Linked DNA regions of Canis lupus familiaris. The protein of the gene in region 2 purifies or fractionates together with the protein of the main gene of each other region. This does not show direct contact. Links are inferred from orthologs where the notes say so. Each region holds a gene or a part of one and is shown on either strand. Other genes may lie near its edges. The genes, in order: RAN, AKIRIN2, IPO9 and PSMA5.

Region 1 (5,362 bases), on a different chromosome or scaffold from region 2:
GTAGCGAACGCTTGAGATACTGTCTCCCTGTGCATATGTGTGAGTTTAACTCCAGAGAATCTCTCTAGAAGTGGAAGTTACAGGGTCGCCAGCTCTCGGCACTCATGTTTTATCAGTTCCTGCTTTCCAGAGAGGCCAAAGCAATGGTCACACCCAAGCAGCATAGAGATCTGTTTGGTGTTTTCCTGAGGGTCCTGGAGAGCAGTGGGATTGGAGTTCCCAGCAGGCAGATTCGCCCAAGTGTTGTGCCCAATTTGCATCACTTGTGTTCCCAATAGGTTTGCTTGCAAAGGGCACTGAAGACTAAGTGGCTAACTCCTCCTCCGTCATCTGGGTTCTCTGCGCTCTGGGAAGAGTCCCCACGGTGGAATCCTTCCTGAGCAACCAGACTACTCTGATGGGGCCACCAGCGGTACTACTCTTGCCGCGAGTGCGGATGTTTGCTTGCAGAGGGGGCCGAGAGGATCTGGGTTATGGAGAATCTGTGGCTGTCCACACAAATGCCAAAAACTGGCCCTAGATTTAGGGTAAGAGGTTAGAGGACTCCACTTGGCCCACTTCCTTGCTGAGAATGAATAGTAGTTAACTGTCAACACTTGCTGAGCTTGTGGCTCATCTTACTTTCTGCCTACACCGGCCCTACGAGGTGGGCATCCCCAGCAGCATGTGACTTCTGAGTGCATGGATCTCGTCTGCATTCTTGCCAGCTTTATTGTCTCCACAGTCTGGAACCTACATACTCATCGATTGCATCCAAATTTGTAACTGGGATGCGAGCCGCCAGGTTTGAAAACACGATTTCGTCATCCTGTGCGCAGGATACAGTCACAAAGGCTGCTGACCAAGGAAATGCTTTAACAAAAGGGTGGCTGCCTTTTAGGGTGAGAAAAAGCATCGATTTTGCACCCTTTACCCCCAAGTAAGGTTTTGGCTGGAGCCAGGGACACCGGGTGTGGGCGGTGGGGGGGCCTGAAACACAAGGCAGGGGCCCGCGGGGTCCAGGTGAGAGGAGGGGGTGCGGCGGGGGCCCAGGGCAGGCTCTGCGGACCGGGGTCTGGGAGGAAGGGCCGGGGCCGGGCCGGGCCGGGGGCGCAGGAAGCGGCCGAGAGGGTGATGGAGGCCCGGGGGAGGCAGGTGGCAGATGGACGGGCGGCTCCGGGAGAGGGTGCGGGTCGGAGCGCCCGGGGTGCCGCGAGAGCCCACAGGGGCAGGGCCACAGGGGCAGGGCCCAAGGCCTCCGCACGCGCCCGCTTCCCCCGCGGCGCACCGTCCCGCGCGCCCACGGCGAGGCCCCACGCCCGGAGGCCCGGGGCTTTGTGTCGGCCGCTCCCCGCGACTTTCCCGCCCAAGAGGCCTGCGCTCTCCTCCCAGTGTCGTGGCGCGGCCGCAGCTGGGCGCGCCGCGTCGGCGTCGGCGCATGCGCGCGCTGGAACCCGCCCTTGGGCCGGCGCACGTGGCCCCGCGAGCCGGCGTGCGTCCGCGCGCCCGCGCCGAGCGCGACTGCCGCCCCGCCGCGACTCTCCCCTCCGCGCCCGGCCGACGGGTGTGGCCGGCCGAGCCCGCGGCGTGCGTGCGCGCGCACGCCGGGCCACGTGGGAGCGACGCGGCGCCGTTGCCCCGCCCCCCCCGGCGCGCGCCGGCGTCGGCTGCGTCTCCGGGCATTTGAATTGCGCTTCCGCCATCTTCCAGCCCTCAGTCAGACGGGCCGGAGACGCTTCTGGAAGGTAAGGCAGCGGGGCCGGGCCGGGGGCCGCGGGGGCCGCGGGGGCCAGGGGCCGGGGGGCCGGGGGGCCGGGGGGTCGGGGGCCGGGCGGGGGCCGGGCGAGGGCCGGGCGAGGGCCGGGGCCGGGGCCGGGCGGCAGTCGTGCGGGCCGGGGCGGCGGCGGCGGCGGCGGCGGGCTCTCGCCGTCCCCTGCCGTAGAGACCGAAGACCGTGGCCGGGACGCCAGTCGCGGTGGGCCCGGGCGGGCGGCGGCCCCGGGGCGGCGCGGGCCGGGGGGCGCGCGATCGGGGCCCCGGGCGGCCCCGGCCTCCGCCCCGCGCGCCGGCCTCCGCCCCGGCCTCCCGGCCTCCCTCCCCCACGGGCGCGCCGCCAGACCCGCCGCCGGAGCAGCGCCGCTCGCCCGCCCGCCCGCCGCCGGGAGCGCGCCGCGGCCCCCGCCCCGGCCCGGGCGTGCGCGCGTGGGGCCCGGCCGCCGGAGCCCCTTTGTGGGCCCGGGCACGTGGGGCGGGCCGGCCATGTGGGCCCGGGCCCCGCCGCCAGCCGTCCCACGTCTGTCTCCCCGCAGCACCAGCGCTATGGCTGCCCAGGGAGAGCCCCAAGTCCAGTTCAAGGTGGGTGGTGCGCGGGGGCGGCCGGGGGGAGCGGGGCGGCGCGGCCCGGGGGGCGCCGGGGCCTCCCCTCCCCCCCCCCGCCCCCCGCGACCGCGTCCTGTCTCGTAGCTGGTGCTGGTTGGCGACGGCGGCACCGGCAAGACCACGTTCGTGAAGCGTCACCTGACGGGTGAATTCGAGAAGAAGTATGTAGGTACGTGGGGGGAGCCGCGGGGGCCCCCGGGAGCGGGGCGCGAGCGGACCTGACGGCCGTGCTTGTGTTGCAGCCACTCTGGGCGTGGAGGTCCACCCCCTCGTGTTCCACACCAACAGGGGCCCCATCAAGTTCAACGTGTGGGACACCGCCGGCCAGGAGAAGTTCGGCGGGCTCCGGGACGGCTACTACATCCAAGGTGGGTGAGGGCGGGCCGGCGGCTGCCGCGTGCTGTGTCATGATGGGCGCAGCGCCGAGCCTGGAGCCTGGAGCCGGGACCCGGAGCGGGCTCCTCACCTAAGACAATGAGCATCCCACGAGGTGCTGCTGTGGCTGCCGGAGTCGTTGGGGCTGGTTGGGGGTTTTTTTGCTTGTTTTTTTCCCTCAAGGGCACTGTAGAGTGGCAGATAAAGACAGGAAGAAAATGTCATCTGGGATCTCTTGTGATGAAAGATGATTGGGAGTCCTTCCATATTTTGCATCCTTTGCTATGTTACAGATACACAGCTTTTTTTTTCTCTTCTTAAAAAGTGTTTAATTAGGAAACTCCTAGACTGTACATACTTCGGTTTGTTGTCTCAATTATATTAGAATTGTGTTCCTCATAGGTCAGTATGTAGGCCTGCGTGTTTTAAGGCAGAATAACATACTCTTTTGTGTAGTTTAGGATCATTTAAAGAGCAGGTTCTGAGATCCTCAGAATAGAGGAGACCAGTTGTCTTAGGGTGCTGCTCTATCGGTAGTCTACTTGAGATTCTGGGATGGGACGGAATTAATGAAGTATTACGGGAGAGATTTGATAAGCTAGGCTGGTAGTTCACACTCACACAGAAAATGAAACTTTAAATCTTGTTACGTATTACAGTGGTTGGAGATCCTTAAACTTGGAAGAGAGAGACATTGGGGTGTAGTGAGTGCAGAAGCAGAGGTAGCCAGATTGGGCCTGTCCCCTAGCCCGTGCTCCTTAGCATTCCTCATTTGTGCAAGAAGTCATACATGTGTAACAGTTTTCCTACATCTGTTTCAGCCCAGTGTGCCATTATAATGTTTGACGTAACGTCAAGGGTTACTTACAAGAATGTGCCTAACTGGCATAGAGATCTGGTACGAGTGTGTGAGAACATCCCCATTGTGCTCTGTGGCAATAAAGTGGATATTAAGGACAGAAAAGTTAAGGCAAAATCTATCGTCTTCCACCGAAAGAAGAACCTTCAGGTATGTTTTTTAAAACTTAATTGTTTTTCTCTAAGATGAAACTACGGTAATAGATCCACTAAAGGAAATTGTGTCTGTGGTATGGATGGAAAAACTATTTTTAGTTTTAAACATTTCAATGATCCTCAAGAAGTAGATTTTTAAAAACTTATTTTATTTTATGGAACAGTACTATGACATTTCTGCCAAAAGTAACTACAATTTTGAGAAGCCGTTCCTGTGGCTTGCTAGAAAACTAATTGGAGACCCTAACCTGGAGTTTGTCGCCATGCCTGCTCTTGCCCCCCCAGAGGTGGTCATGGATCCAGCTCTGGCAGCACAGTACGAGCACGATCTAGAGGTAGGTGGCAGATGGGTCCGTCAGTGGGATCTCTTGGGTGTCCCGTGTCCTGACGGCTCTAACCCATGGTGTCCTGACGTTGTGTCTCTGTCCAGGTTGCTCAGACGACCGCGCTCCCGGATGAGGATGATGACCTGTGAGAAGTGCAGCTGGAGGCCAGCGTCAGAAGTCTAGTTTTATAGGCAACTGTCCTGTGATGTCAGTGGTGCAGCGTGTTTGCCACTTTTATTATATAGCTGAGCAGAACATGTGCTTAATCTTTGGGATGCTGAAGGAGATGAATGGGCTTCGGAGTGAATGTGGCAGTTTAAACAGTACCTTCATTTTTTTGGACCTGCATACTTAGCTGTTTTGGAACGCAGTTGTTTCCTTCCTGAGTTTCAGATAATGAGACTGCTACAGTCCCATCACAATATCCAGTGGTGAAATCTCGTTTGTCACTGTCATTCCCATTCCTTTTCGTTTAGAATCAGAATAAAGTTGTATTTCAAATATCTAAGCCAATGAACTCCTCCCTTGTTTGGTAAGCATCTTAAAACCACTAACAGGAAAAGTTGTGCCACGTTACTGTTGAACTGGCCTTTGCTATTCTCCCTTAATTTGAATCTTTGCAGGTTAAGTTCTTGTCTATTTGTACATTTGGATCCTCTCACACAGGTGACAGGGCAGACATCCGCAGTATTCCGTTTGGTAGATTGTTAGAGGGGTGAGCATCCGTGGTGAAGCTAAAACGATGCCCGTCGCATCTGCCTTCAGACTGGGTGGTGTCACCTGGGGAAGAGCTTTGGACTTCTGTGACCTGTTGGAACAAAACTACTAGACGTTTCGGATAGGCATTTTAAGAATTACAGTTAACATTATTTTGTGACCAGTAACCGTGCTCTCATGTAGGGATGTTCAGAATCTGGTAGAACGATAACAGATGACGGTGGGGACTTGACAGGAGTCTCATTTGTTAAAAATGAGTGTAAGTTATGCATTGATTTGATTTTGTTTTAATGTTAACGTCTAATGTGAAGCTGGTACTCTAGAAAGATGTTCCACGATTACCCGCTGCTTTCAAGTATTTCTGAGTGTTAAAGATGCTGAAGAGTAAGGATTTAAGTTGGGCATCTCACAGCTTTGATGCTTTTTTTTTTTTCTGAAGGATTTTTGTGGCCAATTCAAAGGCACGAACACTAAATAGAAAAGTAGATCTTAGAATGGCTTCTTGAAACGTGAAACATTGCAAAGGTTTCGTTGGATCAAACCATTTATCTTTGTATGATTTACACATTTAA
Region 2 (5,833 bases):
TGCTGACATCCTAGAAAGGCAGGAGTGGACACACTTTTTCTGTAAAGGATCAGACAGTAAATACTTGAGCTTTGGGAAAATACAGTCTCTATAACAAATACTAGCTCTGCAGTTGTAGCCTGCAATGAGCCATACTTTGGGGGGGGGGGGGGGGAAGAGAATGACCCTGGCTGGTTCCAATAAAACTTTTTTTTTTTTTTAACCAGCCCTTTCCTTTTCCCTGGCATTAAGTTGCAACAGTTTGAAAAATACAGATTTAAATAATTTAAATAACAGTCATCAAGTCAAACTTTCGAATCACCTTCCTGGGATGACTAAAATAAACTAGGGTTGAAATCCCAAGTTCCTCAAACTAGTAAAGCCAGAACATCATTTCAACTACACGTCAAAACACACTAAGTTTCCAGAAAAGAACAATGATAAAACAATAAATTATATGCATGTTCTGGAAAAAAAAATAATTTCAGTACTCTAGCTCTAAATTTTTAAATTACACTTGAACGGACAGAAATGAAAGGAAAACAAAGTTTCTGCAGAGTCCTAGTCAATCTCAACTTGGTAAATCACTTTCCATTTCCAACCCTAGCTATTTATTTCAGCCACAGATATACAGATATTTACTCTTGCAAAGTTTGAGAATCACCACTGTTAAAACAAAAATCTAAAAATTAAGTGCTTGGAAAAATTATTTCCAAGATTGGGGACATGATAACTGAAAAGGTCTTTTATACCTGCACAACACTGCAGCTCCCATTATGACATCATTACAAAAACCACACAGGAGCCTACCCAAGCTGGCCATCTAAAAACAAAAGCCAAATTAAACTTCATGTAGAATATCATTCAAAATTACAGTAAAAAAAAAAGTAAATTTTAGCAATTCAAAACTTTACAATCTCAACTGCTTTCCTCAAGTCAACTTTTTCTGTTAATACTCAAGTCGGTTGAAAAAATTAAATCTTTTAGCAGGCTCAAAATGATCAATTAGGCTGTGATTTTAAGAGTTCAGGATATGATCAAACTTCCAGAATAGATGTTAAAAACACCCCGAAGATGACAGCAATATTTTGGAAAACATGAATTTGAAACATCAGGCTTATTTAAACAATTTCAATTACTCCAGTCATTTACTAAATTATCATCCACTCAATTGAAATTTGAGACAATGTGGAGCCAACAGCATTAACCAATGCTACAAATGCATCAATGAAATGACAGATTTGTAAAAGATCACAATCCTGAATAAATTCCCTTTAAAGTGAAGACAAATATAGCTCCTGGCTGGTTAATCATATATGCTCAAGACTACTGCAGCATTGAGATATACTAAAGTATATCCCAAACCTAACACTAAACTCCCAAACCTAACACTGTATTAATTCACCGGCTCCCCTGAAATTTATAGCTAGTTAGCCAGGGCTATTTTTAAGTGGCCTTATTTGTTAAGTACGGATTCCTAGGTATCATTTCAATTTTCAGTATCATTTGACTAAAAAGACAAAAATCTAAAAATAATTTAATCACCAGCTCATAACACTGATTGTCTTTTAATGCAAAGCCTAACAGTCAATCAACCAATGCCTTTACATACAAGGCAGTTTAGGCAGAGTTACTAAATAAAACTGAGAATTCTTCTGAAAACTCTTTAAAACTCTAAAATAGTGTATCCTTAAGTTAGTCAAATATTTAATAGCAGAAATGGTAGCCTAGGCATTGAGGGTGTCCCTAAAAATCTGGGGAAGGATATTTAAAAACCTGACTTGAACGAAACAATTCCAAATGGAAGTTACCAAATATAGAGGTATATACTGCCCACGGGTTTTTTAAAAGCTGATAATAAAACACTTAAACTATGAAAAGGCTTTGTCTGCAAATGATATCACTAAAGGCTCAAATATGAAACCTTTGCATACTATACTCACAAAGAGATTTACACTACCAGTCCACAAAAAGCCTATCCTAGGACTGTGCCAGGGGCACACAAGGATTTTCAAAGTACAGAAAAAACTGGGCACACACACATGCAGTACAAAGCAGCCAAAAGGCATTTCCCCATAGTCACTTTCAGGAAATGTTTCAAGATGAAAAGCAAAGACAGTCTTAAGTGCCTTAGAGTCTTGGGTTGATTTCTTTATTACTCTCAAGGCCTAGGCTGTTCTCCACCCCCCCACCCCCCGCCACCCCACCGTACCCTGTTGAGAAATAAAGCACCTCCAACCAGAAGCAACTACTCAGGCCCAATTTTCAGTACAATTCGCTTTTCATTAAAAGTTCAAGTTTCTCAGGGTCTAGACGCATAGTACGATCATATTACAGTACTCGGGAAGAGCATTTTCTTTGTTGTTGACCCTGCTAGGGAAACAGGTCTTGACTCAGCCAAAGTGGCGTTCTTGTGGGTGATTAATGACAGGCCTAGATCTCGCCCCAGTGACATCCATCCCCACCCCCCACCCCCTCTGTACTAAAATCAGCCATGTCTGAACTGGAGGAGGGGCTGCTGCCTCGCCTCAAACCACCCAGTCCCACAGTTAAGGGCTGCGACCAATCGATTCGAGGAGACAGATATCGAGATTCGGGCGAAACGTTACTCTTCTCTCGCCTAAATTTATGAATAATATCACCCTCTCTGATCATTTCCGCTGGGGCTCTCCAGACTACGGAAACACTCCATTCCAGTCATTCAGCCCAAAGAAAAGGATCTTCCTCTTCCCCACAATACCCGGCAAGGCACAGCCCCTGCCCTCCCCACCTCCCGACTCCCCCACCCCTTTGACACCAGGCCACTTCTATTGTGTCGCCGGGGCCAGAGGACCCAACTGAAGAAATGCGGCCGCTCCACTGCTACTTCTGCGAAGGAGGACGGCCAACCCGGCAAGCCCATCCCTGGGGCCGGGTTCCGCGTCCCGGGACCCCCGTTCTCCAGCCCACCCCGGCGGCCGCGGGGCCGAGTCCCACCTGTGGTGAGGCGGGAGGAGACGTCGCCAAAGGGGGACGGCTCCATTCGGAGATACTTCTGCGGCGAGGCGGCGGCGGCCGAGAAGGAGGCGGCGGTGGCGGCGGCCGCCGCCGACGGAGAGGCAGCAGCCGAGGTGGGCGCCGACAATGGCGCACATCGCCTCCGCTTCGGGGACGCTGGGCTCAGCAGCGGGTCGAAATCCAGAGTCCTTTTCAGAGTGGCGCCGCACGCCATGGCCGGGGCAGCCGAGGCCGGACTCGGGTGGGGTCGGGGAGAGGTGACGGGAGGGGAGGGTGAGGGAAGCGGGGGGGGAGCGGGGACCCGAGGAGAGCCTAACCGACGGGCTCAAGAGCAGGAAGGCGGGGTGGTGCAGCGCCGGCGAGGACGCGAGAGCCGCCGCCGCCGCTGCCGCCGCGGCAGGGGCAGTGGCCGGGCCGGCCCAGGCGAGAGCGGGAGGGGCGGTGGCGGCCGCTCACGACAGCCGCGTCAGGGGGGCTCTTCCGCCTCCTCAGGCACAGCTCCCCCGGGAGAGGCTCCGGCCGCCCCCGCCGTCCGTTCGAGCTTTGCGCCGCGCCTGAGGCGCTCCTGCGCTGAGACCGGCTCCCTTCGGAAGTCGAAACCAGCCCCGTCAGGTATGAGGCTGGAACGCGGCCACGAGTAAGCCCGAGTAAGGTCAGCAGCTTGAGAGCGGCGGTCGATGTGGAGGGATTGCGAGGTGGAGGCGGCGGCAGGAGCTCAATCGAACACGTCCAGCCGCTTCCCCCTCCTCTGTACGACTATTCCACCCGCCGCCGGCCCCAATATGGCGTCAATAACAACGCCGCCGATTCAAATTCTGCGGCCTCAGGGCGCGTGCGCACAGGGGTGGCTACCCCGCAGGCGCATTCTGGGAGTTGTCGTTTTTCACTGTGGAAGGGAATCGGCGTGAAAAGCGATTAGGGAGGAGTCACGAAAACTACGATTCCCGTCATTCAAGGCGCGGCATTCCGAGTTCCGGGTTGGAATTTAAATCCCCTACACGGCTTGAGTGTAAAAGGAGCTAAGCAAAAGGGGAAAAGAGAAAAGCCTGGGAGAGACTGGAAGAGAGGAAAGCCAACTGATGCAGAAAATAGGCTTAAAAGACCTTGAAAATTCAGGACATAGTTGTCCTGATACCATTCCCACAGTGATTTAACAAATGGGAAATAGAAAACTTAGCCAACCCAACAGTTCAAGACAGATTAATTTCGGTAATAAGAGTGCCAAAAACAAAACCTGTCCCAATGAGAGGCTAGGAAATACTGAGATTATGGAACATACTTAGGACTGAAAGGGAGAGCAACATTATTAGTATCAGATTACAGGATCCTCGAGTGAACTGGATGCTTTGCCCTTCCCAGGTAGCTGCTTGCATCCATTTATTAAATTCTGCAAAACCAGGTTTACCCTGTAAACGAATAAATTTGAAAGAGTACAAAGCCAAATTATTTTGCTTTGGATAAAAGCGAGTGATACCAGAAATTGTATTATCTGTTGAATATTGTAGTATAGTATATCTTTTGAACTCTAAAAATTAAAAAATCATAATGAAATGTCTAAAGGAGTAGATAATGAACCCATTTTATAAGCAAAGAGGAAATTTTGTACTGCTACTCAGGTACCTAAAATAACAATCAAATACGGTAGTAATAATGTAAAAAATTGTCACCAGTCTTTTGCCTATGGAAGCTATCCCCAGTCCAATACAAAAACTAGTTATTGCCATATTCTCAAATGATCATGTGAATGCCATATTCTCTAATGATCTTGGATATCACTATACTAGTTTCAGTATAGTACTTATGTATTCCCATTGTCAATTTAGTAACTGAAAGACATTTCAACCATTTTGTCGATAATTCCTCATTTGTGACTAGTTTAATATATTCCTGTTTTATTGAATTGTTCAACACCTTAAAGATCAGCAGTTCTGATCACATTGTGTCAATGACTAAACTGCACTAATTTTATTTTAAAATATGTTGTTTGGGAAATATTTTTTTGAAAATCATCAGCATTTAATGAAACAATGGCTTAACTCTGACACCCAATAGGTAAATTTTTGCTGAATGCTAAACACCATGAAACATAAAACCTATGATATGAAATTAACAGAATACACATATTTTATGTAAATGAGTAGGAAAAGATAGATTAAGCTGTGGGAAGCAAATAACAAAGCATTTATATTCCTGATAAATATTTTCTGAAATTAAGACTCTACCTTAAGCTATACAACTTACTTGGAGAAGGGACTGTTAGGAATTAAATTGTGTTTTTTCAAAATTCCTATGTTCTTTTTTTTTTTTTTAAGTCCTATGTTCTAACCTCAGTATTTCCCAGTGTGAGATGTCCATATTTGAGAAGAAGGTTATTTCAAATATAACTAGTTAAGATGAGGCCATACTGGAGCAGGGTGGGCCCCTAATCTATTATAACTGGTACCTTAATAGAAAGGGGAAATTTGGAAACAGACAAGCATGAAAACATGAAGATGCATCTATAAACCAAGAAAAGGCAAAATGGCCAGCAAATTACCAGAAGTTAGGAGAGAAGCATGGAACAGATTCCCAGAGTCCACAGAAGGAACCAACGCTGCAGATACCTTGCTCTCAGATTTCTAGCCTCCTGAACTGAGATAAATACATTTCTGCTGTTTAAGCTGTCCGTCTATGGTACTTTGTTATGACAGCCCTAGGAAAACTAATTCATCAGGCGATGGGTGTGGGTGTGGTTATCATTTGTGTTACCCTGTGCTGCCTGGTAAATGAGTTTTATGTACAGGTGGTTAGAGGATATCTGGCAAACTTGACAATGCAGGCCTAATGGCTGCACATGCAATCTGTGCTTCGCAGCATA
Region 3 (5,197 bases), on a different chromosome or scaffold from region 2:
AAATTTGAGGGCTACAACTTAACCACTTTAGAGGATTCCTGAGGGAGAGGGGGTAACCTTTGAATATCAGACTGTGTGGTGATGTGTGGGAGAGGAATATTAAATATAGTTGGGTCAGGAGGACTTTAAAAAATGTTTTTCCCATTTTTTTTTTTTCCTAAAAAAGGAAAAACAAATTGCCATCTGTCTGGCTTATTTTGTGTGTGTGCATGTATACGCAGGAATAGCTTGGGGGGAGGTGCTGAATCATGCAATGAGGCAAAACCAAGATGACGTCCTTTGACAGGGGAACCTTAGTGTTGTAGGAGGGAGACAAGGAGAGGTCACTGGAGAGGGCTCAGAAGGTAGCTGCTCCCCTCGTTCCTATGGAGAACCCAGAGCATCTGTGGTGGAGGGCAGAAAGCACAATCATCTCTCAAGGGTATTCCTATCTGAATACCTCAGATGTCCTATGGAAGTAAACAGGTCTGTTTTAGAATATAAATGGTCATGACTTCCTGTGCTCCTGAGGTGGGGCAAAATAATCCATGAACACATAATCCTTCTGGGCAATATGTTTCGGGAGCGGCCAGCAGAGGACTCTAGGAACAGAAGTGGGGGCACAGTTGGGGAGAAAAAGGTCCTAGAGATGGAGTATCTTCAGGGGGACTTTGAGAAATGTCCTTTGTTCCAGTATTCCTAAGTGACAGCACTGGTGAGCTCAGTCTGAATTGTCAGTGTCACTCTGCAAAGGCCAAGGGCCGAGTCAGGAGGCCACTCTAGGTTGAAAAGAAAGTACATGTCGAGGCCAGTTAAGGGCTGCAAAATGGTTTGTGGCTGAGCCAGGAGGAGCAAATGTGGAAAGTCTCCATTTTTTTTTTTAGATGCCAATGGTCTGCAGAACCCGCCTCTCGTTGTCATTAAGGTGGCCTGAGAACATTATGTAGCAGGGCTGTTGAGCGAACTGGCAGAGGAAGTCCGTGAGATATGCCTGGAGGGAAGAAAAAGAGTGGCATTACTGAGGGTTCCCAGGCTCACCATCCACAGTGGGGCAAGCACAAGTGGTATAGGAAGCAGTGGCTCTGAGACAAATGCCAACACCCCGAGGGATGGCTTTCTACATTCTTGGATCTAGTTTAGGTTTAACCCAGGGACTCAATTCCGTAAGGAAATGAAATTTTCCCAACAGATCTCCTATTCTACCGGGAAGCCTTCACAAGACAGCTGGGGTTGCAAGAAACTGGACTGCCATACTGGTAGGAATAAAATGCTAAGGTGCAAAGTCCCAGTCCACCCAGAGTCCTTGACTATTCAGCAGGACAGGAACTCTCTGCCCTGAAGCTCTCAGGACAAACTACGAATGAGTGTGAGACCATATTCCTGTTTCCGTGGCTTGAGACATTGTCACTTGCAAGACATCTATCTTCTCTGGACATTCTCACCTGCAGATCAATCTGATAGAGAGGATCCTTCAGGGCATCAGGGTCATCTTCCTCATCATCCTCGTAGTAATCCTCCTCTGTTAGACACAGTCACCACAGAGAGGGGTCAGGGCAGAAGCTCGGGCCCCAAGCGGGAAGGCATCACACGGCTAGGGTAGATGGGCTAAAGAAGCCCAAGGTACATCCCTTGTAGGCCCACCTCCCCCCTTCCTTTGGCACCCTGCCTCTTGGGACCAGTGCACAGAAAAGGTACATAGCATGGCTGCCCTCTTCTCAAATGGCTTACCATATTTACTTGTAGCAAGAATGTCAGATAAGAGTTGGCCAGCTAAACCATCCTCTTCCTCCTCTTCATCTTCCTCCTGGTCCTCCCACATATCATTGGAGTCATCTACTCAGAGATGAAAAGCAGCTGGAACATGCTCACACATTGTCCCTTCCCAAATGCAAACAAGCCAGAACGGAAAGGTCCCATGGGTTTCCGTAATGTGGCCCTATGGTCAAGCCCTCACAGTAAGTTTAAATGGAAGAACCGAGGGTGTTCAGGTGGGTAGATAAAAGGTTGAGAAACTCCTAAGAAAAACCATACAGGAAGGGCTAACTAGCCTGCCTCCTAGCTACAGCACACCCCAGCCTCTGAAGAGATTTCACAAGGCAGACCTGAAGAGGTCTTCACGTGCATAGCAGTGCTAGCCACATGACAGGCATGATACAAACATTTAAAAAAAAAACAGTAATTCAATAAACCAAATTGATGATTTGAACATTTGTAACTTGATCTGCTAGGCTAACAGTCTGCTGGGAGTAAGAGCCAGTGCACCTTGATTCCACTCTGCAGGAGTGGCCTGGCGTGCGGCGTTGGCCTCCATGACGTTGGAGAGCTCATTGATGATCAGCTTCAGGATCTTGACCAGCAAAGGAATGTTTGTCCAGCGCTCAGGGTCTGGAAAAGAAAGGAAAGGCTTCTAGGAAGACTGTCACTGTGCTAACTTCTGGCACTGCTCACTGGACACAGTTTACCAGCCCTCAGGCTTTCCACCATCCCAGACTATATCCAGCTGCCACACAACAATTTAAAGTTAAATAACTCCATTCTGCTTGGTCTAAGAGTTCAGAAGTTAGGACAGATAAGAGAGTTCAGGAATTAAAGGAGATAGAAAATGGTTTTTGCTGGTAATAAAGCTTGGACACCAAGTAACTGTAGAGAGTGCAATACTCCAGTGCCCATGACTTGCAGTTTGAGAAACAGCAGAGGTGATTATAAACCTACGGCTGAATAGGGCAGCTTCGCACCTGCTGCCTACAAATCACTAAAATCATAGGCCAAAAGCAATCCGATAACAAAGACATGCTGAAATGGGTATCAGAGCCCCCGAATGAAGCTGGAAGCTGGGGTACCTAAGATTGTTTTTGCCAATTTCCAGCAAGAGGAAGGAGCCGTATGTTCTGATCCCTTTTTTACCTATAGTTTTGTTTCTTTTTATCAAACCCATCACTAACAATTATGTTTAAAAAAAAAAAAAACTAGATTACAGTACATCCCTGCCTTCCACCCCACTTTAGCCCCTAGGGAGGGGACTGGAGGGGCAGCAGCATCACCCACTTTTGGCTGACTTAGAGCGGGTGCGGATGCCCTCATCCATGCTGTAGATCTCCTCTCCCTTCACGCGGATATCCTGTAGCCGTTTGTCATCTGCATTGATGCCATGCTGGAGCAGTTTACACAGTGCCACAGAGCTGGCAAGGAAGAGCCAAAAAGGGTCAATCAGCAACCCATCTAGAGTTTATTCCAAGGAGATAAGCAATTAAGTCCTAAGACTCTTGATTGGTGAAAATTCTGTTCACAACTAATTACAAGAGATAAGAGGGTTCAGCTGAAAATGAGATTTAGTGTTCACGAAGATGGCCTAATGAGAACTTTTGAACTTCTTAAACAAAGCTGGGGGGGGGGGGGGGGCAAGGATCACAATGGCTGGCCACCTGGAAAGTGCAATGCGGTAATGAGAACCAGTGGGAAGCAAGTCTAAGATAGAAAGTTAGCAAGCCAGGGTTAGAAGGCTTGGGTTTATAAAGGAGAATAAGCCACTAGCAGTGCTTGGCTTGAAGTCTGGCAGAGGAGGATCTCTAGGCAGCAGAGAGGAAAAACAAGCACGGTCTACCTGTGACTATGTTTTGGAAATTCGAGATGGCAGCTATTCAAAGACACCGACTAACAATAAAGATACAGAGGGAAAGGGAATACAAGGGGCAGTTTGACATGTTGAGCAAAAATCAATGAAGCAAGTCAGAGAAGGAAGAAATGCAAGGAGAGGCGGAATGCCCACAACAGAAAGACGGCCCTACCTGACTTTGCCTTCATACTGTCCATAGAACAGATGCTGTCGGCTCGTCCATTCAGCCATTACAAACTCCAGGGCGGGTTTGCCAGTAGGTCCCGGGAGGCTGCACAGGAACTCCAAGAGGGGTTCCAGCTGAGTGTGCACCAGATGGGCGAACACCATGATCAGAGACTAGGAGGCAACAAGAAGGACATCTGCTTCAGGGAAACCAATGTCAGAGACTTGGGAGATGAGAGGGAATGGGGCCAGCCAGGCAAGAACTAGAGGACACGGAGACTTCCCTGTCAGTATTTCTTGGGCTAGAACACACAGGTGTTACTTAACTGTTGTCTAAGGACAGTATGACAGTAAAAACACCTCGGGACCTGTATACTGATTTCCATCTCTACCACCTGGAGGTTGGTTGGGAAAGCCCAACTCCCACTGTCCTCTTACCTGCATGACACTGAGCGTCTCTGCCTGCTGCATCTTACTGAGGATGGCACGAAGAATCTGGTCCAGATTTTCCCCCAGCTCCCGCCCTGCCTTGGAGATGAGGGTGGAGACAAGGCGACCCACAAAGGCCGCAGTGAACTCTGAGGTACGGGGGTCCAGGAGTTGGCTCACCACTTGCATCACGTACCACAGCCCATTGTGGCCCTGCTCGTCGTGCCACTGGGCCACCTGCTCCAGCGTCACTGACACGTAAGCTCGCAAGCACTCTCCACCATTCTGGGGAGACAAAGGTGGCAAACAAGATTAGCAACAGTGGGAACAGATGTCAGGAGGCCCTCAGTCTGTACGGGCAAATGTTATTCTTAGAGGCTTATGCCTCATAAGAGTGATGAGCCTACAGGGTTTGTGGTGGGTATATACTGTTGGAGTCAGGAGTTTACTGTTACAGATAGAGCCATGCACTTTTCAATCCTTGCTTCACCTAATCAACTATCTCAAAAATGGTTATTTCTGATCACAAGGGATATTGGCCAAGTAAACGAAGTTTTAACCATAAAGATCTACCTCCAGTACTAGAAAAACATGTTTAAGATGCAAGCAGTGATTACAGATACCGAAGCTCTATATGGGAATAAACAAGACCTATATGAATCAGTGTCTGCCTAGAGATTTCCAAAGGCTTATCATCTTGTTGATTTTCTTAGGTCAGAAAAGACTTGCTTTAGAATTTCAAGTTTACAGGTCTGTAATCTCATCCACATTAGCAATGCCCAGATATAGATGGGAAGCATGCCTGGCATCCATCCCTTTTAAGATTACAACATATCCCAAAGCAGAGAATGCTTGGCTTCTGCAGTCTGGACCCTTCCTGGGTTCCTTAGTTAAATACAGATTTGAGAGACCTGGATCTCAAAAGCATGAGACTGTGTCCGCTCTCTCAGGCCACTACAAGCCCATGGCTGGGGAGCTATCTTCCCTTTTCTAATCACCACGGCTCAGGTA
Region 4 (5,197 bases), on a different chromosome or scaffold from region 2:
TTATTTGGATTTTATGTTACAGACAATATAGGGAGATGTTAATTCTTCAGAGAAGTATAATGAAAATAGCATTTATTAGATCAGTCAGGCCATAACATGAAATATACATTAAGAGAAAGATTAAGTAGGGGAGCCTAAGTAGGAGACTATTGAAGTAATCTAGGCGTATAAGAAGAATGACTAAATTTATTATTCATTTATTAGGCACCAGGCACCATTTTAAGCCTTTTATATATTAATATGTTTATTCTTCTTGATGTATTTTGCAGATAAAGAAATATAGGAGGGTGGTGACTAGGATGGTGCCATGGAAATGGAGAGATGAAATTAAGCTATATTGTGAACTGCTAGTGACCTCAAAAGATTAAGTTAATATTTTTATGTTGGTAATGGGTGTTGCGATTTCTTTTTTCTTCCTTTTTTTTTTTTTTTTTTTTCTTTTTAAAATACATTATTTTTCTGGAGGTCACGTAAATTTGAGAAATAATAGTGTTTGGGACAAGTCAAGATGGCAGAGGTGAAAAGAAAAACATTAGAGTTTTATTGTTTTTTTGCATGCCTGTTTAGAACTTTAGAATCTGCTCCTCCAAAATATTGGCATTAGAGTTGATCCTTTCCCACATATTTTTAAGAACTTAGTGAACTTTCCCGTTAGAAGAACAAAATTCTGTAAATTAGTGCTCTTGCCATAGATAGGAATACTACATTACTTATTAGGGGTCTGCATACTAGATATGACTTGAAACTTCTGTCTTGTGAAGTTATTCAGAGAGATCCCTGGTGAGTATGTGAGACTGTTCTTTAACCTGTACACGATAACCATAACACGTTTCTTTTTAGCTTGGTTCTACAGCCATTGGGATCCAGACATCAGAGGGTGTGTGCCTAGCTGTGGAGAAGAGAATTACCTCCCCACTCATGGAGCCAAGCAGCATTGAGAAAATTGTAGAGATCGATGCTCACATAGGTAAGGAGTAGGGGAAAGCCGTTCTGTAGGATCTGGCTTGGGTTAGTCTTCTTTGGCTTTCCAAGGGAGGTGCATATTAGATGAATATCTTATTCCTTTGTTAGCTATGGTTTTTCAGGTAGTAGGCCAGTGTGCATAATATAATAGTAGGAAGCAGCTGTAGAGCTCACCTACTCCCAGAAGTTCCTTTCTCCTTCAAATTTAGACTTGGCATGTTATGATGGTTGTTGAACTATGTAAAGGTTGAATCGGCCAGCTCCCTATGATTGGGTCTTCAGTGATGCATAATGTTAATCCTGATAGAAAACCATGAGAGTGATCATGTGGAAAACTAGAGATGTCCACTAAAAAGAGGAATTCTTAAAGCTCTTTAGGGTGACTAAGGTTCAGAGAGCATAAGAATATTTGAGCAGATCCGTCCTCTTCCTCTGTTTTCAGATTTATCTTTTTACTCTCTGTCACCCTCTACATCCCTCACCCACACCGCAGCACTTTTTTTTTTTTTTTTTTTTTTTGGTCTCTGTTTAAATTCTCCTGCCTTAGCTTCTGGCATCATTATAGTATTACAGGGTGAGTAGTTCTGCTTATTTATAGCGTGGTATTTTAGTTGGCTGTCCAAATTTTCTTAACCTACTAGTCATCTTATTAATGAAACATCAGTAAAATCAGTAAAATAATTACTTGAAGGCCTTAGAACCAAATGCCCTGGTGACTCTGAGAGCTTGACATTATTTCTTTCATGGATATAGAAACTAAGATTTAATCTTTTAAGATTAGAACATTGTTTCTATTTTAACTCAAGTCACCTGTCTTTTGGAGATAGATCAGTGTCACTTTAGCAAATTGAGAACCTACCGTGTGCCAGATACATGCTAGTCATCAGGGATACAGAGAGAAATGAGACATAGTCCTTGTATTTCAGAAGCATACAGCCTAATGGTGAAGGTGGACATGTAAATAAGAATATGCAGTTGAGTGATATAAGGTATTAAGAAAGGCTATAGTATGTGCTCAGTAGGGGTACAAAGGAGGAAATAATTAGTTTTGTCTGGAGCCAGTGGTAGTGGGTGTTGAGAAAAGGATTCTATAAAGGTGAAGCTTGAGCTGAGTTGAATTGCAAAAGATCAGGAAGTGTTCAAGTGAACAAGTGTTTGGGTATAGCAAGGGAGAGCACTGTGGTTAGAGAGAATAGAAACCCTTGATGGTGTAAAATATGGAATACGTTGGCACAAACAGTTTGGTATAATTGGGAGGCAGACTATAGCAAGAAGTGAGCTTGGGATCAGATAGTTGGAAGTTCTTTTTATTATTATGCTAAAGAGATTGAACTTGATCCTTTGCATTGATGAGAAAGATTTTAAGCATTGAGGTAATATGATCAGATGAATATTTTAGAAAGGCCATTCTGATTAACAAGGTTGCATGGTAGAGTGAAGGGATTTGAGACTGGAAACAGGGAGACCACGTAAGAAATTTCCTTTAATCCACATGGAAATAATGAGGGCCTTAACCAAAGCAGTAGCCAGAGAATGGAGAAAGTAGGATTAATGCCAGACAGGTCAATTTGATAGAGATTGATAGAATTTGGGGTCTGATTGGTTGTGAGGGCCAAGGAGTCTAGAAGGGAAAGAACTTGATTTGAGTCAGTGGTACGTCCAAGGAGATATTAAGCTAGGTTTGAAATGTGGGAATAAGGCTTAGGCTGGAGATACAGAGTTTGAGTCATGGCATATAAAGTAATAGCCATAACTTTGGCATCTTGGACCGTTAGGTAAACTTTCTCTCTAAACTATGTGGTTTGTATTTGGTCAGAAAGATGAAAAAGCTTTTGATTTTATCATAGGGTCTTTCACCATAGCTCATAGTGAGATGGTTATTTTTTTATCTTTATTTCTTCTGTTGGAATACTAGTGTTTGCTTATTTTGAAAGTGCATTGTGGTCACAAAGTGCTAAAGGGATGCTTAAGGATGTAATATGTGGAAAATCATGTTTGTTTGGCTGTTCTTTTCTGTCTTCTATCTTATTGGACTTCTGTGTTATTGTGGGTGGTTTTTTATTTATTTGTAATATAATTCTATTTGTGTTCAGTACAGATAATCAAATAATTTCCCATCTGTCTCTTGGGTATATTGCCATGGGATTGCTATATGGCTGCCATGATTCCATTTCAGTATTTCAGTTACTTCCTGAGTGGATGAAAGAGTCTGCAAGGATTTGGCCCCTGGGTCACTATTGCTTTTACATTGCAGGTTGTGCCATGAGTGGGCTAATTGCTGATGCTAAGACTTTAATTGATAAAGCCAGAGTGGAGACACAGGTAAAATTAGCATCATCTCTCTTTTTTACCATGATGCTTGAGTTCCTTGTTAATGACGATATAGCTGCCTGGGCTATCTTGCGGGTTATCTGTGTTAATGTCAAATGTAGCTGTTGGGAGTGGTTTTGGATAGAATCCCTAGTTTATAACTTTCTGAGGCTTGGGGTCTAGCCATCCAACCATTGCAGCTTTAAGGAAGCTGACAAATAGTGCTGACAGTCTCTTGCTTCTTTTTGATTTGCCTTATATAAAGCAAGCTTTACACTGCCTTCTGTTCCCTAATTGACTTTTTGTGGGAGCACCATAGCAAGAAGTGGATGTAGCTAAAGAGCATTCTATCCCAACTGCTTTGGTGTTGGGCTTGCAAATAACAGCTCTCCTGTGGCAAGTAATATTATGGTTCCAGGTGACAGATACTGATCAGGAATACTGATATTTTCTGCTTGGAGAATAGACCAGTAAGAAAAAATCTGATTGGTAAAATTTTTTTTGCATTTATTTTCAACTTTGCTGTCAGACTTATATACAAGTAAGTCATTAATTTAAACGCCAGTGGGGCACTTGGGTGGCTCAGTTGGTTCAGCATCTGCCTGTGGCTCAGGTCATGATCCCAGGGTCCTGGGATTGATCCCCACGTGGGGCTCCCTGTTCAATGGGGAGTCTGCTACTCCCTTTCTCTCTCCTCTCTCCCCCACCCTGCCTTGCTCATCATGCATGCTCTCTCTCAAATAAATAAAAGCTTTAAAAAAAAATTTAAACACCAATAAACACAATGATGAGATAAGGTCTGTGAGGGAAAGTGGCACTTAACTGTTAGCATTCACTTTGTGCAAAGACTAAGTTTGGTTATATGAGGGGTTAACTGGTTTTCAATGGAGTCATCCTCTAGTCTGTCATTACTTAAGAGTCCTTTTGATCAGAGTTTATTTGCAGAGCTATTTCTCTTTCTCATGTAGTCCCAAGCATTTGAGTTTAGTGTTAAGGAAAACGAAATGGAGCTGAGCATTCAGTTTACAATCACAGTTCACAGGGATGTGTGTAGTGGGATGGTGGGCTGCTTTAATGCTTTTCTTATTTAAAAGGTAGACTGTTTTAGGGGCACCTGCGTGGTTCAATTGGTTAAGCGTCCAGCTCTTGATTTCAGCTCAGGTCATGATCTCAGTATTGTGGGAGTGAGCCCCACATCATGCTCTGTGCTCAGTAGGGAGTCTGCTTGAAATTCTCTTTCCCTCTCTGCCCTCCACCACATGTGCTCTCTCTCTCAAATAAATACATAAATCTTTAAACAAAAAAAAAAAGAAGAAGAAGAAGAGGTAGACCACATTTTGCTCTTCTTCTAGAACCATTGGTTCACCTACAATGAGACAATGACAGTGGAAAGTGTGACTCAAGCTGTGTCCAATCTAGCTCTACAGTTTGGTGAAGAAGATGCAGATCCAGGTGCCATGGTGAGTGTGGTGTTTGTGTCAAGTTTTCTTGCTGTTCTAAGGGATGCAGGATATTTGTCTTCTGAACATACCTTTCTCAGCCCCTCTGACCGCCTACTTCAATAGCCATTTATCTTAAGACCTCTTGTTTTTTGGTTCTAGTCTCGTCCCTTTGGAGTAGCACTGTTATTTGGAGGAGTTGATGAGAAAGGACCTCAGCTGTAAGAATAATTTGCCATTTTTTCCTGTTTCTTTTTTGGTAGAATTTTTAATTTGGGTTGGGGACTTGCTTAAATCAACTGAGAAGATTATTATAGAATTACAGAAAATGAGGGGCGTCTAACTCTAAAGTTCAGTGATTGTGTGCTCTTTATATAGAAAGACAAATTTGAGGATTCTATGAAAAACTATTGACACCACTGCTAATTCTGGGAAGAATTAAAAGTAACTTTGTTACTATGGTCAGGATGCATTTTAGAGCTTTG

What was found.
Region 1: the proteins of AKIRIN2 (region 2) and RAN purify together in Homo sapiens (affinity purification with mass spectrometry; 3 studies listed by BioGRID and IntAct, counting the BioPlex papers as one, with this or other methods). This does not show direct contact. The link is inferred for Canis lupus familiaris from reciprocal best matches to the Homo sapiens genes AKIRIN2 and RAN.
Region 3: the proteins of AKIRIN2 (region 2) and IPO9 purify together in Homo sapiens (affinity purification with mass spectrometry; 3 studies listed by BioGRID and IntAct, counting the BioPlex papers as one, with this or other methods). This does not show direct contact. The link is inferred for Canis lupus familiaris from reciprocal best matches to the Homo sapiens genes AKIRIN2 and IPO9.
Region 4: the proteins of AKIRIN2 (region 2) and PSMA5 purify together in Homo sapiens (affinity purification with mass spectrometry; 3 studies listed by BioGRID and IntAct, with this or other methods). This does not show direct contact. The link is inferred for Canis lupus familiaris from reciprocal best matches to the Homo sapiens genes AKIRIN2 and PSMA5.

The regions. Positions count from the first base shown.
Region 1 is NC_049247.1:1,620,356-1,625,717, reverse strand, and holds RAN (GTP-binding nuclear protein Ran), read left to right. Parts: upstream 1-2,286; 5' UTR 2,287-2,298; coding exon 2,299-2,334; intron 2,335-2,442; coding exon 2,443-2,527; intron 2,528-2,600; coding exon 2,601-2,726; intron 2,727-3,554; coding exon 3,555-3,742; intron 3,743-3,911; coding exon 3,912-4,082; intron 4,083-4,177; coding exon 4,178-4,222; 3' UTR 4,223-4,236; downstream 4,237-5,362. UniProt on the Homo sapiens protein: GTPase involved in nucleocytoplasmic transport, participating both to the import and the export from the nucleus of proteins and RNAs. Switches between a cytoplasmic GDP- and a nuclear GTP-bound state by nucleotide exchange and GTP hydrolysis.
Region 2 is NC_049233.1:47,344,451-47,350,283, forward strand, and holds the start of AKIRIN2 (akirin-2), read right to left. Parts: upstream 3,295-5,833; 5' UTR 3,191-3,294; coding exon 2,956-3,190; intron 1-2,955. UniProt on the Homo sapiens protein: Molecular adapter that acts as a bridge between a variety of multiprotein complexes, and which is involved in embryonic development, immunity, myogenesis and brain development.
Region 3 is NC_049228.1:1,203,872-1,209,068, forward strand, and holds part of IPO9 (importin-9), read right to left. Parts: intron 4,472-5,197; coding exon 4,196-4,471; intron 3,932-4,195; coding exon 3,765-3,931; intron 3,159-3,764; coding exon 3,025-3,158; intron 2,365-3,024; coding exon 2,242-2,364; intron 1,813-2,241; coding exon 1,708-1,812; intron 1,499-1,707; coding exon 1,422-1,498; intron 971-1,421; coding exon 860-970; 3' UTR 1-859. UniProt on the Homo sapiens protein: Nuclear transport receptor that mediates nuclear import of proteins, such as histones, proteasome and actin. Serves as receptor for nuclear localization signals (NLS) in cargo substrates.
Region 4 is NC_049227.1:42,890,669-42,895,865, forward strand, and holds part of PSMA5 (proteasome subunit alpha type-5), read left to right. Parts: intron 1-840; coding exon 841-967; intron 968-3,217; coding exon 3,218-3,285; intron 3,286-4,625; coding exon 4,626-4,733; intron 4,734-4,874; coding exon 4,875-4,933; intron 4,934-5,197. UniProt on the Homo sapiens protein: Component of the 20S core proteasome complex involved in the proteolytic degradation of most intracellular proteins. This complex plays numerous essential roles within the cell by associating with different regulatory particles.